Linked DNA regions of Caenorhabditis elegans. The protein of the gene in region 1 purifies or fractionates together with the protein of each later gene. This does not show direct contact. Each region holds a gene or a part of one and is shown in the gene's direction. Other genes may lie near its edges.

Evidence for each region.
Region 2: the proteins of thoc-1 (region 1) and crh-1 purify together in Caenorhabditis elegans (affinity purification with western blotting; one study listed by BioGRID). This does not show direct contact.

The regions. Positions count from the first base shown.
Region 1 is NC_003280.10:698,874-710,221, forward strand, and holds thoc-1 (Death domain-containing protein), read left to right. Parts: upstream 1-3,233; 5' UTR 3,234-3,241; coding exon 3,242-3,312; intron 3,313-3,357; coding exon 3,358-3,497; intron 3,498-3,542; coding exon 3,543-3,661; intron 3,662-3,714; coding exon 3,715-3,833; intron 3,834-3,896; coding exon 3,897-3,975; intron 3,976-4,027; coding exon 4,028-4,134; intron 4,135-4,498; coding exon 4,499-4,607; intron 4,608-4,713; coding exon 4,714-4,863; intron 4,864-5,032; coding exon 5,033-5,142; intron 5,143-5,485; coding exon 5,486-5,701; intron 5,702-6,761; coding exon 6,762-6,872; intron 6,873-7,087; coding exon 7,088-7,171; intron 7,172-7,291; coding exon 7,292-7,448; intron 7,449-7,561; coding exon 7,562-7,668; intron 7,669-9,416; coding exon 9,417-9,735; downstream 9,736-11,348. Other genes in the region: T02H6.11 (Cytochrome b-c1 complex subunit 7), read right to left, coding at 1,755-1,859, 1,908-1,985, 2,035-2,244; T02H6.1 (WD_REPEATS_REGION domain-containing protein), read left to right, coding at 10,516-10,584, 10,633-10,734, 10,878-10,988, 11,189-11,325.
Region 2 is NC_003281.10:11,678,855-11,687,026, forward strand, and holds the start of crh-1 (CREB homolog crh-1), read left to right. Parts: upstream 1-4,107; coding exon 4,108-4,574; intron 4,575-6,355; coding exon 6,356-6,449; intron 6,450-8,172. UniProt on the Caenorhabditis elegans protein: Transcription factor. Transcriptional activity probably positively regulated by phosphorylation. Modulates expression of target genes, acting by binding to regulatory cAMP response elements (CRE).

The DNA.
Region 1 (11,348 bases):
CGGTGAGACCCATCGTGACGATACCTTTCGTGGTGAGACCCATCGTGGTGAGACCCATTGTGGTGAGACCCATCGTGGTGAGACCCATCGTGGTGAGACCCTTCGTGGTGAGACCCTTCGTGGTGAGACCCATCGTGACGAGACCCATCGTGACGAGACCCATCGTGGTGAGACCCATCGTGATGAGACCCATCGTGGTGAGACCCTTCGTGGTGAGACCCAAATTTTTGGCGGGAAATTCAAATTTTCAGTGAAAAAAATTTTGGCGGGAAATTCAAATCAGTGAAAAAAAATTTTGGCGGGAAATTCAAATTTTCAGTGAAAAAGTTTTGGCGGGAAATTCAAATTTTCTGTGAGAAAAATTTTGGGGGAAATTCAAATTTTCAGTGAAAAAAATTTTGGCGGGAAATTCAAATTTTCAGTGAAAAACATTTTGGCGGGAATTTCAAATTTTCAGTGAAAAACATTTTGCCGGGAAATTCAAATTTCTGAGAAAAAATTTTTGGCGGGAAATTCAAATTTTCTGAGAAACTTTTTGTTAGCTTAAGTACCACCTGGAACTGGCGAGACCTATCGTGGTGAGACCCTTAAAAATATGGGCGGGAACTTCAAAATTTATGAGAAAAGAAATTTTAGCGGGAAATTCAAATTTTCTGAGGAAAACATTTGGCGGGAAATCCAAATTTTTGTTCTGGAATCAATTTTTTTGTTTCAGCACCTTCTGGAAGTTTCAAGAAAATTCTAGACTGTTCTAGAATCATCTGGAAAATTTAAAAAAGTTCTGAAATGCTCTACAACCTCCTAAAACTGTAGGAGTTTTTATTTGTTTCGTTACATCTATATTCAAAGAACTTACTATTAGTAGTTAATTATTCAGACTTCTCCAGTTAAGGAAAGTTGTTAACTTATTAAAAAAACTGTAACCCTGTGGAATTTTTTCGAAAGCCTGATAATGATAATGTGTAGTAGAAAAATCAGAACATTCTAACTGTCTCTTTGAATTTTCTGAATAGTATACCATGGAAGGAGAAAATGCGATTTAATCGATGAAGTTTCAATTTTTTTTAATGAGACATTTTTGAATGATTAAAAGGACATCTATTTGTTATACATTTTAAACTCCGCCAGTCGTTGGCCGCGCCGGAGGCGCGGTCATCGGCTGGTTATCGAATAAAATGTCACGATTTGAAGTTTCGAAGTTTGTAGTTTGTAGTCTAGCAGACCAATTTTCAATACATCTCTGGAGTCACTTGGATTTCTCTGAAAAATATTTTTTAAAAATGAGGAATATTTGGAGATTAGAAGTGAAAATTTTGTAAAAATTGCTTTAAATCGAGATTTTCCAGGCTAAGGAGTTAATTTTCAGTGAGAAAACCGTCTGAAAACGCAAAAAATCCAAGTTTTTCAATTAAAAAACCCATTGGTCTGCTAAATCGAAATTTGTAGTTTGTAGCCTAGCAGACCCATTCTCTTCAAAATCACTTGGGTCTGCTAAATCGAAATTTGTAGTTTGTAGCCTAGCAGACACTTGAATCATCTGATTTGTCTGAAATTCTGAAAAAATTCGCGTTTGATTTGACTGTGAAACAACAAAAAAAAATCGAATTTCTAACTCAAAATTTACTCACAATTTCAAAATTCACACGATTTTCCCGCTAGAATGCCGAGAAAAACGTGGTTGAGAGAGGTGATTTAACAGAAAAAGACGAAAAAAAAGGGCGCGGAAAATTATAATTTTGAAGAATTCGAAGAATCTAATGTTGCTTCATTTGGTATGGTGGAATGAGTCCGGATGTCTCGGCGCGAGCCTTCTTCTCTGCCTCGATCTCGTCCAAATATGGCTTCAAGTACCACGATTCCTGAAGAAAAATAGATTTTTTAAAGTTGAATTTCGAGTGAAAAGCTACCTGATCCCATTGAGTCCATTCAGCCTTTGGAAGCTTCTCGCCGTGGAGAGCCAAAGTGTGGGCACGTGAAAGACGGATCTGAAGTAAAAAAAGATTGAAAATTCCAATTTTTAATCGATTTTCTCACCTTTCTCTGATCGAAAACGTGTGGCTCCTGGAGATTAAGGCGTCTGAGAGCCTCGGTGACTTCTGGAGCCGGCTCAAAGTAGGTGTCGTGGAATTGGAGCCCGTACTCGCGTCCTCCCCACAAGTTGCTCCATGCGAACTTGCGAAGCGTGCTGGCGATCGTGCCGTTGTAGGCGAAGGTGACGGCTTTTGAGGCGGCTTGACTGGCCATTTCGTTACCTGAAAAGAAAAAAATAAAAGAAAATTAGTGGGGAATTCTGGGGAAAAGCTGAAGAAAAACTGAAAAAATACAAGTTTTCACATGTTTTTCGGGAAATATCGATTTTTAGCTCAATTTCTCGGATTTTAAATGATTTTCTTGAGATTTTTTACATAAAGTCACTTATAACAAGCAAAAAATTAGGCAAAAATGCACAATTATCATTGAAAACTCTTAAAAATCCGGCAAAAACAAAGATAATGCAAAAAATTCTCAAAAATCAGATTCCAAGCGATTTCTCGAGTTATTTTACAAATTTACGCATTAAAACTGTCAGAAAACCTCATAAAGCTGATTTTTGTGCTTAAAATGCAAAAAAAATCGGAATTTCCAGCTAAAAATCAAAGAAAACCGAATGAAAAGGAAAATTATGAATTCGGCGGTGTCGCTAAACAACACGCAGGGTGTTATTTCGGAGCATCGTTGTGAACAAATTTTTGGAAATTAATTTTCTCAAGCTTTCAAGCATTGAGAACCTAATTTTTTGAAGTTAAAATACACATTTTATGATGGTTTTTTCTAATAAACTAAAGAAAAATTTCATAGGAATCGATTAAAGGGAAATTGAAGTATTTTATTTTTAACTAACGCCATGTAGCAGATAGATAATATGTTTTTTCAAAGTTTACTATGTTAAAATACTCCTTAGAACTTGATGAATTCAGATTTTTCACCAGAAACGTTGCCGGATGAGTATTTTGTGAAAAAAAAATAAGAAAATTGGCTGAAGTTTGATTTACGGTAAACAACACGCGCCTCGTTATTTCGGAGCTTCGTTGCAAGTGATTTTTTTTCGATAATTTTTTTTTCGAATTAATTAATTTTTTCATTAAATTGAACCGATTTCTATTGATTTTCTATTTTAAAATTGCGAAAATAAACAAATAAAAAATTTTAGTCGTTAATCTCTCAACTTTCACCCGTCAATTTTAATGTTTTAGGTCAAAAAATGGAGACAGTTATCGAAAATCGGGATTTGGACGGGTTAAAGGAGGTTGTGAAGGCGGAAAAAAAGACTGCGTGAGTTTTTAAAAGAATTATCAGATAAATAATGCAATTTTACAGGAAAGACGACGAATTTGTGCTTCTAAAAGTCGACGGGTTTCTGAAAAAGCGGGGATTCAAGGTCGCCGAGCAGCCTTCAGCCACCAAGGAAGAGCTTGCAAGGCGGCATTTTCATTTTGTGATGAATTGCTCCAAGCTTGGTAATTATTTTCTCGAAATTTCGTTTAAAAATGAGTTTTTTGCAGGTTTGTGCTCCAAAAACACTCCCCTGAGCACTCTACAGGACCTCTTGGAGATGAGCTCAATTGAGGAGTGTAAGCAGATTTTCAGCATAGTAGAAGAGAATATGAACGAGTTTAAGCAGGTAAAAAGCCGGTTTTCAAAGAATTTTCCCGATAAAAAGCGGATTTTTTGCAGCCCGGCTTCATTGAAACCGCCCAGAACAATATTCTACGCTTCTGCAACGATTTGCTCCGCCGCTTGAGTAGAACCGCTGAAACATCGTTCTGCGGAAGAATTATGTTCTTTCTCTCGAGGTAAAAAGCGAAACATTTTCGAAAAATCCCAAAATTTCCTGCGAAAAACTCAATTTTTTCCAGATTCCTCCCGCTAACCGAAAAATCCGGTGTAAACTTTATGGGACACTTCAACACGCTTAACGTTACCAACTACGACGAGGTATTTTTTCGGTTTTTGGACTGAAAAATCGCAAAAAATCGCAAAATTTCAGTCTGAAACCGACGGTGAAGCTCTTCTCGCTGCCACGTCATCGGCTCCAACACCTACGGAAGGAGCAGAGGATATGGAAACTGGAGAAATCGAAGAGGATAACTCAAAGTACGGAAAAATCGGAAAAAAGCGAGAAATTTCCACTGAAAAATATCATTTACCTGAATTTTTTGGGTCTGCTAGACTACAAACTACAAATTTCGATTTAGCAGACCCATGTGGTTTTGAAGAGAATGGGTCTGCTAGACTACAAACTACAAGTTTCGATTTAGCAGACCCATGTGGTGTTGTAGAGAATGGGTCTGCTAGACTACAAACTACAAATTAGCAGACCAAATGGTTTTTTAATTGAAAAACTTGGATTTTCAGCGATTTCAGACGGTTTTCGTACTGAAAATTGACTTTTTAAGCTAGAAAATCGCAGTTTTGAGCATTTTTTACATGATTTTTCGAATATTTGCTCATTTTTCAGAGAAATCCAAGTAACTCCCGAGATGTATCGCCAGTTTTGGTCCCTTCAAAAATTCATGTCAAATCCGAATTCAATATACGAAAAGGAGAAGTTTTTGACGTTTAAAACGGTAATTTTTCGCTGAAAATCACTGAAAATTGAGGTTTTTTGGCCGGAAAAATCGCTGAAATTCCACAAATTCTAACTGAAAATCGCCAAAAATCCCTTTTTTTCAGGATTTGACAGCAGTTCTCACCCTAATGACGTCGAATAAGCTGGAAAAACTCTCCTCCGAAGAGGAAGAAGCTCTGGAAAATCGACAGAAAAAGCAGCAAAAAGGATCCAGTAACGACGTGTTTTTTACCAAATATTTGACGTCTCCAAAGGTAAAATTGGCTGGAAAATTGATGAAAATCGATTTAAAAATGATTGAAAACTGGAAAAAATGATTTAAAAAAGCTGAAAAACGCTGAAAAATGACCAAAATTCCCACTAAATCATCGATTTTCTCCCAGAATTCCCCCAAAAATCTCAAAATTTTTATTTTTTTTCCAGCTTCTCGCCCTCCAACTCAACGATTCTTCATTCCGACGGTACTTTTTAATGCAGGCGATCATTATTTTTCAATATTTGACAGCAGAATCTCGATTTAAACCCCCGGCAAAGTGAGTTTTCGACCGAAAAATCGAGGTTTTGACCTAAAAATTGCGATTTTTGAGTCAAAAACCGTATTTTTTGACCGATTTTCAGCAGAAAATATGATTTTTTGACCGGAAAATTGCGATTTTTGAGTCAAAAACTGCACTTTTTGACCGATTTTCAGTAGAAAATATGATTTTTTTGACCTAAAAATTACTTTTTTTTAAAGTCAAAAACTCTATTTTTGACCGATTGTCAGCAGAAAATATGATTTTTTTGACCTAAAAATTGCTTTTTTTTTTAGTCAAAAACTGTATTTTTGACCGATTTTCAGTAGAAAATATGATTTTTAATCAAAAAAATTTCCAGAAAAATGGTGCTAAACGAGGATCAAGCGAAATATGTGTCAGAATGTGAGGATAAATGCTATAGATTGCTGGCTGATACGATGCCACGTGGCACTGCATTCGTTGCCGGGCTCAAGCGAATTATGCTCCGCGAGCAGGAGTGGAATACGTGGAAAAATGCGAATTGTGCAGATTTTTCCGAAAAAGCCGATAAAGGAGCCATGCAGATGTACAAAAAGTGCGGAAAAATTTGAATTTTTAGCTGAAAATCGTGAAATTTACCGAAAAAAATTGATTTTTAAGCTGAAAAATCGCAGGAAAAGCTGGAATTTCCAGCTGAAAATGTAATTTTTGGCTAAAAATTCCCATTATTGTGGTGAAAAATTGCTGAAAAGAGAAATTCTTGGCGGAAAATCTTGATGTTTGCCGAAAAAAAATTTTTTAAGCTGAAAATTGGAAAAAAAGTAGCAATTTTTAGCTACAAAAGCTGAAAAAACCCACTATTAAGGTGAAAAATTAGAAAAAATTGAATTTTTTAGCTGAAAATCAAGAAATGGATTTTTAACTATTAGATTTAAGAAATTTGGAATTTTCAGCTGAAAATATCCATTTTGTGCTGAAAATTGCACAGTTTCAGCGGAAATTTGAGAAAAAAAAAGATTTTTAGCTGAAAATCTTGAAATTTTCCGAAAAAGTTGATTTTTATGCTGAAAATTAGACAAAGTTGTGATTTTCATCTGAAAATATCCATTTTTGCAGTGAAAATTGCACAGTTTCAGCGGAAATTTGAGAAAAAAAAAAGATTTTTAGCTGAAAATCTTGAAATTTTCCGAAAAAGTTGATTTTTAGGCTGAAAATTAGACAAAGTTGTGATTTTCATCTGAAAATATCCATTTTTGCAGTGAAAATTGCACAGTTTCAGCGGAAATTTGAGAAAAAAAAAAGATTTTTAGCTGAAAATCTTGAAATTTTCCGAAAAAGTTGATTTTTAGGCTGAAAATTAGACAAAGTTGTGATTTTCATCTGAAAATATCCATTTTTGCAGTGAAAATTGGCAATTTTAAGCTAGAAAAGCTGAAAATACCCATTATTGTGGTGAAAAATTTTAAATACATATAATTTTTAGCTGAAAATCTTGAAATTTTCCGAAAAAAATTGATTTTTAAGCTGAAAATTGAAAAAAGTTGTAATTTTCATATGAAAATATCCATTTCTGCAGTGAAAAATGCACATTTTCAGCGGAAAATTGAAAAAAAAAATCTCAAAATCTCAGAAAAAAAATTCCCCCCAATTTCCAGACGGCAACGCATTCCATTCAACCCAAATTCTCTCGATCTTGGAACTCCTGAGCTCACAAAACTCTGGACAAATGAGCCCGATGTGCTCAAAGCCTGTAAATCGGATAAGAGGTATGTAGGCTTGAAATTGGAGAAAATTGAAGAAAATTGCAGAAAATTGCATAAAATTACAGAAAATTACAGAAAATTACGGAAAAATCAAGCTTAATCTCGAAAAATTCCAAAACCAGTTTTTTTTTTGCAAAAATTTAGTTTTAAAAGCATGTTTTATATCTCAAAACCTCAAAATATGTAGATAGAAGCTTAAATAAAAGTTTAAATTCCAGAAAATTCATCCCAAAACTGCCGGATTTCATTCGCGATCCGATTGACGAGATGGATCCCGAGCAGCAAGTCGAGGAGCAGTATAAGTGAGTTTTTGACAGAAAATATCACGATTTTCGACTAAAAATCGCTGAAATTTCATGATTTTTAGCTGAAAATATGTGAAATTTCACGTTTTTCCACTGAAAACCCCCTACTTTTTCCAGACAAATCAACGATAGCGCATTCCAATGGCGAGCCGCCCGTCTCCTAATGCACAAATCTCCGGGATACGTGACAAAAACCGACACAAAAACCGATCCGACGACTAATATCAAGGAATTTTTGGAGAGAAATATGTATAATGCGGCAAAGAATTTTAATGTAAGCCTGAAAATTGGCTGAAAATCAGCTAAAAAACTGCATTTTTTGCCTGAAATTTACTGAAAAAGCGCTGAAAACCTGCCAGAATTTCCCAAAAATCGACAATTTTTCAGGAATTCAAGGAATCGATCGAGAATCGTGAGAAAAAGGAGGCAGAAGCTCGGAAAAAAGTGGAAGAATCGCTCAAAAGGAAGCTCGATTCGTCAAAAGTGAAGCCAAGGTGCTTAAAAACTGAAAATCGGCTGAAATTCAGCTAAAAATCGTATATTTTCCATGATTTTTCAGCTTTTTCCATCAAAAATCAGCTCTTAAAGTCGATTTTTAACTGTAAAAATCACAAATTTCTACATTTTTCCATTAAAAACGGCTGAAATCTCATATTTTTGTTGATTTTTCAGCTTTTTCCAGCAAACAGCGATTTTCAACAAAAAAAAACCGCTAAAAATTTGAGTTTTAACGATTTTTAGCCGGAAAAATCGCTGAAAATGCACTTTTTTCAGAAAATTTCACTCAAAATGTCTAGAAAATATGAAAAAAGATCATTTTTTTAGTGTAAAACCCGTAAAAAATCACACAAACCGCCTATTTTCAACGAAAAATTGGATTTTTAACGATTTTCAGAGGAAAAAACCGAAAAAAGCCACAATTTCCAATTTTTTCAGAATTTTCCGCTTTGAAAATTGCTAAAAATTCATTTTTTGCAAGAATAAACGCGGAAAATTCACTGAAAAAATACATTTTTTGAAAAAAAAAAGGTGCATTTTCAGAGATTTTTCCGGCTAAAAATCGCTGAAAATATTGATTTTGAACGATTTTTAGCCTGAAAAATTGCCGAAAATCCGCATTTTTTTGATGGAAAAAATACGAAAAAATCCAATTTCCCACCGATTTTCGACAAAAATCGCTGAAAATTCACTTTTTTTCAGAAAATTTCACGCAAAATGTCTAGAAAATATGAAAAAAGATCATTTTTTAGTTTAGTATAAAACCCGTAAAAAATCACAAAAACTGAAAATCTCGGCGAAAAATCGTATTTTTCCATGATTTTTCAGCTTTTTCCAGCAAAAATTGACTCAGACAACCGATTTTTAACAGTAAAAATCACAAATTTCTATATTTTTCGATTAAAAATGACTGAAATCTCATATTTTTCATGATTTTTCAGCATTTTCCATCAAAAATCGGCTGTAAAAACCGATTTTTAACTGAAAAAATCACAAATTTCTACATTTTTCCATTAAAAATGGCTAAAAATCGTATTTTTCCATGATTTTTCAGCTTTTTCCATTCAAAATCGGCTCAGAAAACCGATTTTTAACTGTAAAAATCACAAATTTCTACATTTTTCCATTAAAAATCGGCAAAGATATTGATTTTGAACGATTTTGAGCCGAAAAATCGCTGAAAATGCATGTTTTTCAGAAAATTTCACTCAAAATGTCTAGAAAATATGAAAAAAAAAGATCAATTTTTTAGTGTAAAACCCGTAAAAATTCATAAAAACTGAAAATCTCGGCCAAAAATAGTATTTTTCCATGATTTTTCAACTTTTTCCATCAAAAATCAGCTCTAAAAATCGATTTTTAACTGTAAAAATAACAAATTTCTACATTTTTCCATTAAAAATGGCTAAAAAGCATATTTCCCATGATTTTTCAGCTTTTTCCATCAAAAATCAGCTCTAAAAATCGATTTTTAACTGTAAAAATCACAAATTTCTACATTTTTCCATTAAAAATGACTAAAAAATCGTATTTTTCCATGATTTTTCAGCTTTTTCCATTCAAAATCGGCTCAGAAAACCGATTTTTAACTGTAAAAATCACAAATTTCTACATTTTTCCATTAAAAGTAGCTGAAATCTCATATTTTCCATGATTTTTCAGCTTTTTCATTCAAAATCAGCTCTAAAAATCGATTTTTAACTCTAAAAATCGCAGAAAATCCCAAATTTTCCATTTTTTCCAGCCAAACATCTTCTCCGAACCCCTACACAGATACAATTCTCTCGGATGAGCATCTCACCCAGTTGGCTCGAGATTTATCGAAATTTAAATCAAATCTCGCGAAATGCTTTGGCACAAAGCTCCCCGCCGATGACGTCACCAGTGATGAGAAGATTTGCTTTAAAATTCTCAAAAGTTGGGCTGAAAAGAATGGGAGAAGCGGGCGGAGTCTGTTGAATACGCTAATTACCGATTTGGATGTGATTGAGGTGGCTCAGGCGAGCATGAAGGTACGGTTTTTCAGCGAAAAAATGAAGAATTTCAGCGAAAAATCATTTTAAAAATGAAATTTAACGCGAAATTTCACAACAACCACATGGGTCTGCTAAATCGAAAATTGTAGTTTGTAGTCTAGCAGACCAGTTTTCATCAAAACCACTTGGGTCTGCTAATTCGAAGTTTGTAGTTTGTAGTCTAGCAGACCCATCCTTTTCAAAGCCACAATGGTCTGCTAAATCGAAACTTGTAGTTTGTAGTCTAGCAGAACCATTCTCTTCGAAACCTTATGGGTCTGCTAAATCGAAATTTGTTGTTTGTAGTCTAGCAGACCACTTTTTTTCAAAATCTCTTGGGTCTGCTAAATAGAAATGTGTAGTTTGTAGTTTAGTAGACCGCTTTTCATCAAAACCACATGGGCCTGCTAAATCGAAATGTGTAGTTTGTAGTCTAGCAGACCCATTTTGAATTCCTTTTTATTAAAAAAAAATAAATTTTGATTAAAAAACATTAATTTTAAAAATATCGAAATTTGCCGCTTTAATAAATCCTTTTTTTCAGAAAATCAACGAATCGACTGCATAATTCGCCTTCAAATTGCTGTAAAATCGGATTTCTTCATTATTTTTCACTTTAACTTATTAATTTTACCCTTAAATTTGTTTTTTTTTCGGTCTCATTGCCTGTTTTTTATTCATTTTTTCTCCTTTTTTTTTCATATCAAAATTTGTATTTTTACTATTTTTTTCTGCAATTTTTTCTTGTTAATGGCGTTTTTCATCGCCGGTTTTAACTTGAAATTTCTAATTTTCAGATTAATTTTAATGCCATTTTCAGCTTAAAAAATGCCTGCATTTTTTGTAAAAGCCGGCGCCAAAAAGAGCGGCGGTGGAGCTGCAGCGACTAGGAAAAGAGTGAGCTTTTCCTTCCTTTTTTCGCCAAAAAATTAAAATTTTTTATAGAAAAATGGTGGAAAATCGGATGCAAAAAGCGAGGAGATGGCCGCCAAAATGTCACGACGTCAGAAGATTATGGCAGCTACGGAAATTCATTCGGATGAGGAGGTTTATTCGCTGAAAAACTGAAAAAAAAAATGAGCAAAAATCGACGGATTTTCCGTTAAAAATCTAAATTTTTAGTGAAAAACTCTTGTTTTTTAACTAAAAAATTAGAAAAATTCAAATTTTTCAATATTTTCTTGTTCCAGGACTCACTCGCCGGAAGCGCCGCAGCATCAGAAGCCGGAAGTGACGTGGAATACGAGGATGCACACGAGAGAAATTATCGAGAAGCCAAGAAGCTTTTGGACAAGATTCAGGTGAAAAATGACTGAAAATCCGGGAATTTCACATCGAAAACCTGCGAAAATTACGAATTTTTCACCAGATTGACTGCTCAAAAATTCAATTTTAAGCTCAAAAATTCAATTTTAGAGCTAAAATTCATTTTTAAGCTCAAAAACCTTAATTTTAAGCTCAAAAATTCCAGATTTTCAGCCCAAAACTTCCCAAATTTCAGAGCACAACAACGACACAAGAGGAGGTGGCAGAGAAGCTCCGGGACGATGCAGTTGCACGTACAGGAACACAAGTTAAACGAGTTGCCGATGTGGTTGAGCTTGAAGATGATCTGGAAATTAGCTATAAACCACATAGGTACAGTAATCCGGCCCGTAACC
Region 2 (8,172 bases), on another chromosome or scaffold:
CTGCAAGTGATAGAGCCCCGGGCAGGTTCCAGTCAGGCCCGGAAACCGCACCTGCCTACCACGGAAGCCCTAATTAAGGTATTCTATGCTGAATCAGAAGACTAGTTTGAAGTTCGATCCCTGCTCTAACAAAACTCTTGTAAATCTCTTGAGACGAGAAAAAGAGACGAAGAATCAACTCCGCTCGGCTGAAAATCCTCCTCCCTTTCTTCAACAATAATATCATCATCGAGGATTAGTTCAGCTAATAACCAGGTTACATGCCCTTTCTCCGGCTCTCAATCCGGTTTTCGGAATGATGCTATCCTTTTACTGATTGCCGGGTTACGGTTGCAAAAGGTTTCAATCTTTGTAGCTGCTGTTGCTCAGAATTCTTCTTTCTCACGAAATTTTTTGTCGGAATGTCAGGCAGAGCTATGATTAGACATGTAATTTTCTACAACTTAAAGACTGAGCCGGAATGCAACTTTTTTCCAAAAGCCATAGCTGAAAAAGAGCCTGAAAAGTTGATTTTAATCTGGATTTATTCGGATAATGATCATTCAAGAAGTCTGTTGAATTCTATGATTCTTTATCATAATTCGATGCTAAAACTTCTACAAAAAAATTTTCCGCTCCGAAGTCATCTAGGTTCGATTGCACTTTTTTCAAAGTTTTAATCCGCCAACGCTCATTTTTCGATAATTTGGCTAATCGACTGCTTCACCCAAAAGGTCGAAGGTTTGTTTCTTGTTGCAAAAACATTTGCTCGCTTCTCCTTTTCCATCTCTATGTTTTTCTGCACCTCTCTCGGGCTGCGGCGGTGACGGAAAACCGCAAATTATTCATCTGCAGCAACGTCTTCACGGAAATGAATGGAGCACGCCGCCGCTGACGAATTTTTTTTGTGTGCTCCATTTCTAGGGCCCCCGTTCCTCGACAACTTGTAGATCATTTTTTATTACCCGTGAGACGTCACTTTTTCATGGTGGCCGAGTTTTCTAAATCTCGGCCGGTAGCCCATGAAACTTGCCTGCTACAAATTGGTGAAGCCGATTTTTCGAGAAAATGTGGCCACAAGCCATCCGATATTCCTAGAATCCCCCTTAAAAAATGCACCTGGAGAAGAATCTATTTCCGATGGCATTCACCTCTAATCCTCATCCAATTTTTTGACACCGAAGACCTTCATGATAATTATGAAGCCCTTCGGCGGTTTTTTTTCCGAACAATGAGACATGAACTTCCTGGCAGTGCCACCCGCAATAATATCCTCTTTCTCTGAAAATCAGAAGAGCTTCTCATTTACTACTCATTTGGTTTTTTTTTCTGTTCATCTCTTAGGAGCTCAGAGCACAATAATGCTCTCTGTCTAGAATCTCAGGTGTTCATTAGCGTTTACGGCTCGAGGGAGCAATTGAAATTTGAAAGAAGCCTATAATCTTTTTTGAGCTCACTCAAAAATGCTCTGCAAAACCTTTATGTAAACTGGAGAAGGTGCTGACACACAGAAACACACACACACACACACACACACACACACACACACACACACACACACACACACACACACACACACATATGATCTGAAGCTTCAGCTCCTTGACCATGATATTTGAGCCATTTTTTGGGGGTGGCTAAGCCAGAGAGCCGCCACAAAAAAGATGTGACTTGTGGTTTAAGTGACTGGCTTCTCCCCATAGCCTTTTTGCCGCACATAAATGGAGATTTTAATACAATTATTATCAATTTATTAATCCCCCGGCCGGCAGATTCCAAGGAGCAGAAGTCGATGTGTGTGTGTTTCAGTTTTAGTTTCAGAGCAGCAGGATTAGGAGAGAAGACGAAGAGGCTAACAGGAAATTGGTGACAGGAAATCGTTTGATTTTTTTGTTGAATAGGATTTCTATGCAAACCGGAGTTTACTATTTTTTTTTGTTAAGCTCACAGGTGACACTGATGTCATTTTTTTGTATTTTTAAATGTTCTTTAGCGATTGGTTGGGTGCAATTCAGTTTGCCGATTTGCCGATTTGCCGATTTGCCGGAAAAAATCGCTTGCCGCCCACCCCTGGTGCAATTTGAAAATTGCGAAGTTTTCTAAAATTCTGCAAATTCGGAAATAACCGATTTTAGGAATTATCGGCATTTTGTCATTAAAAGTTATTGGCAAACTTGGCATCTTCCGACATTGCCGAACTTTGTAAAGTGCCACAAGTTGACAATTGGCGCACTTTCAAGCCCAAAAACAATTTGGCGCTTGAAAAAAATGCCCATCTCGGATGTTTTCTACAATTCTGCAAAATCGGAAATAACCGATTTCAGGAATTGTTGGATATAAATTATTACTATTAATATACTATTGGCAAAATTGCCAATTTCGAATCTTTCGGAAAATCGGCAATTGTGGAACCTACAGACTGATTCGACGATCGTTTGAAAAAAGGCAACTTCTGATTTGTTCGACAAACTTGGCCACTCTTTTTAAGTTTTAAAATATTCGGTGAACTGCAAGTTGTTTAATAGCCGAATTCTAAAACAACACTGTTGCCAATCAATATATTTATTTCCCAGAACCCATATCCCCCAACAAAACACAAATTGCGGTCAACTCTATCCAAAGAGCAACATACTCTTTTTTTTTCTCTCTGAAAAGAGGTAGAGGACAACAAGTTGTGGGTGGTGGTGAGATATCTCTTCGTCTTCCGCTCTCTTCAATATCTCACTGAATTACTCGAGTAGAGAGCTGGTGGTGGTGGGGGCGGAGTCAGCAGCCATTACCACCCCCACCTCAAAAGAGGGGGGGGGGGGGAGGAAAAGAAATCTGATATGGACCGTTTTCCCTCCATTTCTCTTCTTTTTTTCAACATCATCATCATCATCTTGAAGGTGGTTCTTGTGCCCCTCTCTCTGTGTATGTGTGTGTGTGTATGTGTGTGCTTGATTTAATTAGAAATGAGCACCCGACCTCCACCCTCAGAACATTGGTTTTAGGTCGTCTCTTCTCTGAATACTAAGCAGATTAGCAGCAGAGAGTCTTTCTGTGCTATTGGATGTTTTGTAATCAGCACAACTTCATAGACTTCATAGATCTTTTTCTATAGTTTCCAAAGTTTGGTTTAAAGAGAATCTCACACCTCTCTTGGAATTTGAGTTTTTTATACAACTTTAAAGGTGGTTTAGTCGAATTTTTTTCATTGCCTTATTAGACTCAAAATTGTCTGAAAACACCGAATTTCATAATGAAGCATCTTGAAAACTTTTCATAAAAAAGTTATGACGGCTCAAAAAATGGCCTAAAATTAGTTAAAATTTGGAATTTGACCAACTTATCAATGTCGCAGCGGCAACATTTTTTTTTGAAATCACCGTTAAATTTTAAGTATACAAGTTGATTATCTTGCGTTTTAAACTTGATTAAGGTTTTTAAAAATCGATGGACGGCGAAACTTTTAATTTTTTAAATCCAAAACTCGCCGTCCATCGACTTTTAAATACCTTAATTAAGTTTAAAACGCAAGATAATCAACTTGTATACTCAAAATTTAACGGTAATTTCAAAAAAAATTGTTTCCAGCCGCTACGACATTGAGAAGTTGGTCAAATTTCCGATTTTAACTAATTTAGGCCATTTTTTGAGCCGTCATAACTTTTTTCTGAAAAGTTTTCAAGAAGTTTCATTATGAAATTCGGTGTTTTCAGACAATTTTGAATCTAATAAGGCAATAAAAAAATTCGACTACACCACCTTTAACCCCGCCCACTTCCTGGTTATTTCGCAGACTTTCTTCCATATTGAGCTATTCTGAATATAAATTTTGGAATTTTTTCTGAACTAGTTTGGATTTTGCGGTGTCAATTAAAGTTTTTTTGTAAAATCACTTTACTGATACTACCGACATTAAGACTATGACCTTGGGATCCTACTAAAGATATCATAATCACTAATTAGACGTTAATCCTTTATAGCAAACATCTAAATGATCAAACTATGATCTTTCAACATTCCCACGATGCCTTGCATTTTTCTCATGTAAGGAGTATGAAGCTTCTCACGTGGCAACTGCAGATCAACAAGCTTTGTTTTGCCAAATATTCACAAATTTGTAGGTACCCGCGGTGATTCATGATGGGACAATTTATATTAGAAATTTATAAGATCAGAATAGTCAGTCAGACACATTTATTCTCGAAATTAATATTCCATTCTTTTTTATCGTTCCTCTTCAATGATTTTTCACATCTCTCCGCTTCATTACCTCCTCTTATTGATCTTTCAACAAAAAAAAAACTTCTCGCACGAGCTTCAGAGGGCGCCACGTCTTCGTCTTCACCACTTCCACCGGCGTCGACGGCGACGCTCTCCGCGTTCCGACCGCCGGCAAGAATGATTCCGCCGCCGGTGGTTCTTCCACAGCAATATGCGCCACTGCCGGGCTTCACACCACTTTTGCCAGCTCAAGCAATGATGGCGAATTTCCCGCCAAATGCGCTCTACCAGTTAGGCACCCCACCGTTCGAGAATGGAAATAATCGGATTCGGTTCAAAGATGCTGCCATGGTCGTTCTGAGCAGACTATCATTTAATCAGAGAAGGTTAGATAATGCACATCAATGAGTCATGGTATTCTCATTAGCGTGAAATTTGAACACATGGGAATTAAAATATTCAAACCCCAAACCATAAGTACTAATCCTCTCGAAAGTTACCTACAAAAATCGTGCTTTTGTATTCAAACAAATAAGTATATATACATATATATATATATCTGCGTTGCGTTATTGACCATATTTATATAAAATGTTATTCAACCTCTGAATTTACATATTACTACGTTTTTAACACAATTATCAACTTAAACGTTCTCAAACTGTGAAAAAGGTTCGGAAGTAGTTTGAGGCCTATTAAAAAGTGTTACTACTTAGTTGATCACTGATATAATTAAAATATTATCCCAAACTTGAGGTTTTTTTGAAAAGGACACATAAATCACTAGTATTTTATCAATTACTCAATAAGAATCTCTGCTGAGCCTAGACCTAGCTAGCAGCCGAGCCTAGCTGCTAAGCCTAGGCATATCGATCAGTTTAGAAAACCAATTGCGACCCGGTTGCTCGTGTCAAACGAGCTCCCATTTCCGTTCCCCCGAAGATAATCGGTTGACCCACCACATTCGAGTTGCTCCGGAGTCCGGATATCCTTCCGGAACACCTTCAACATCTATTGTTAGTGCTCTCCGGGCTCTGCGGAAAAACACGTCGTCGTCGTCAATCAAACGTCATTGACCTCGAAAAGACATTTGGGTTCTCGCCGCTTGGTGCATAAATAAAAAATTTCACACACACTATGATGTGAGCATTTTCGAGTTTTTGTATCAAAATGACGCACTTTTGAGTCAGTTAAAGCCGATTTGAAGCCGCTGTGATGAACTGAACGAAATTAAAACATATAGAATACAAAATGATTACAACAATCAGTCAGAAGTGTGAATAATAATGCTATATAGTAAAGGATAATATAATTTTATATAGATTTTTATTAAAAAATGCAATAAAACATATTAGACATGCCGTACTAATAGAGGAGTACAAGTAATTTAGAAAACTATTGAATTTTCATCGAAATGGTTCTCTCTGGTTTTTAAACTGAAATGATTTTTATCGAAAAATAAAGAATTTGAAATTTCAGCGTTTTTTAAAGGCGCATAGGCGAAAAACGCAAAATTTAGCAGCTGAGTATTATTCAACCCATTATATTCAACCCAGGGATGGGCTACAAAGGATTTTTTTTCCGGAAAATCGGCAACTTGCCGGAATTGAAATTTCTGGCAAAACGGCACATTGTCGGAATTTAAATTTGTGGAAAATCGGCACATTGCCGGAATTTAAATTTGTGGAAAATCGGCAAATTGCCGGCAATTAAGATTTCCCGCAATTTGCCGAATCGCCGAATTTGTCGACAAAAAAATTTGTGAATTTCAAAATTGCCCATCTTGCTAATATTTATTCGTCACTCATAAAGTAATTAAAATTCTATTTTTAAAAATTTCTCTCTCATCGCGACGTAAGAAAACAAGACACAAGGTGTTGTACCTGATGACGTCACTGATCATTTTCGTTCATTTTTATCAGCGATTATCAGTTTCTCCACCGTCTTTTTTTGCCACCCCGCTGACGTCATAGTTTACTCCTTTTTCCTTCAGCGGCGCGGCACTGCAAGAGATGCGAATTTAAGTTTTTTTGTTTTGAGTATTATGCTTTTGATGGCTGAAAATGTCGACGAGCTTGTTGTCCAGGTAGGGTGATAGTGATTGAAATTTTTTAGGTTCTCATTTGAAATATTAAAGTGTTAAAAATAATAAAATCAATAATTTCAGCATGATCCTCAAAGATCTAGAAACGGCGGATAAGGTGATGAAGAAGGAGCCGGAGGAGACGCCGCCGTCCAGTGTAGATGCTTCACCATTACAGGTAATAAGGATAGTCTAGAGCAGGGGTGCGCTGGGATATTTCGGCATTTTCTGGGTTTTGAAATTTTTAAAAATTAGAAATTTCGGAATTTGATGGTGTTTTTAAAATGATATATATATATCATTTACTATATATAAAGCGCTTATTCCGTTTGTCCATAGTTTGTAGTCTATGTAGTTTTTGTAGTCTGTGAAGTTTTAGCTTCTGGAGGGATAGTGAGTTGGGCTTAGTGTAGGGATATAGTCGGGGTACTGTAGTGGTACAATAATGGTACAGTAGGAATACTGTAGGGTTACGGTAGTTTCAGAAAAAATATTTTTCAGCCCCAGAAGCCGGGGGGCTTCCATGGTAGGCAGGCTCGGTTTCAGGGCCTGCCTGAAACCTGCCCGCCAGCCTTTCGCCTATTTTCTGCACTTTGACGTGAATTTTCAAATTTGCAAATTTCTATTAATTTGTTAAAAATCAAATTAAGAAAGGAAAACAATGTGCATTGTTGTGAGGCGAGAGGCATGCCAAGGCCAGGCAGGCAGGCGTTCTAGCGCCTACCTAGTTAGTTGCCTTTGAGAGTTTTGAACTAGAAAAAAGTTGGTCAGAAAAAAAAATTCCTGACTTTTTTTTTGAATGAAACCTTAAATTGTAGAAATTGAAGGACTAAACAAGCACGTAAATATACAACACTAACTTAATTTTTTTGTTTTAAATTTAAATTCCATGCCTACGGGTTTCCGTGGAACGATTAAAACATAGGGAATTAATATGAAAAAAAAACACTGAATACACGAAAATTGAAAATAAAAAGGATGAGCAATCCTCATTGTATATTTACGATTAAAGGTGGTGTAGTCGAATTGTTTTTATTGCCTTATTAGACTCAAAATTGTCTGAAAACACCGAATTTTATAATGAAACTTCTTGAAAACTTCTCAAAAAAAAAGTTATGACGGCTCAAACAATGACCTAAAATTAGTTAAAATCGGAAATTTGACTTGCCAAGCGTCTGGAAACAATTTTTTTAAAATCACCGTCAAATTTCGAGTATACAAGTTGATTACCTTGCGTTTTAAACTTGATTAAGGTATTTAAAAGTCAATGGACGGCGAGATTTTTAATTTTTTAAAACCAAAACTCGCCGTCAATCGATTTTTAAATACCTTAATCAAGTTTAAAACGCAAGATGATCAACTTCTATACTCAAAATTTGACGGTGATTTCAAAAAAAAAAATGTTTCCAGCCGCTTGGCAAGTCAAATTTCCGATTTTAACTAATTTTAGGTCATTTTTTGAGTCGTCATAACTTTTTTCTGGAAAGTTTTCAAGAAGTTTCACTATGAAATTCGATGTTTTCAGGCAATTTGGGCCTAATAAGGCAATTTTAAAAAAATTCGCCTACACCACCTTTAATAGTAAGGAAGGACTAATGCTAAATATTCCTATACTCTTTTTTTTCGAACTTCCAGAAAACCACACCTTTTCTAAAACATCTGCACGTCCAACTCCACCCTCACCTCGAAAATGTCAGGGTCTCCTGAAATCGAATTTAAATAAAAATGAAGCATTCAAAAAAAAACACCTGCATCTAATTCAATACACACCTGGAAAAAGTTTCCTTTCTTTTTGACATTTAAGCTTTTCGATGTTTAACTGAGTATCCTAGGAGAAGTGACAATCGAGGAGGTGGGTATTTAAGTAGTTACGGGTTAGGAGATTATGGAAAAGTGTTTAG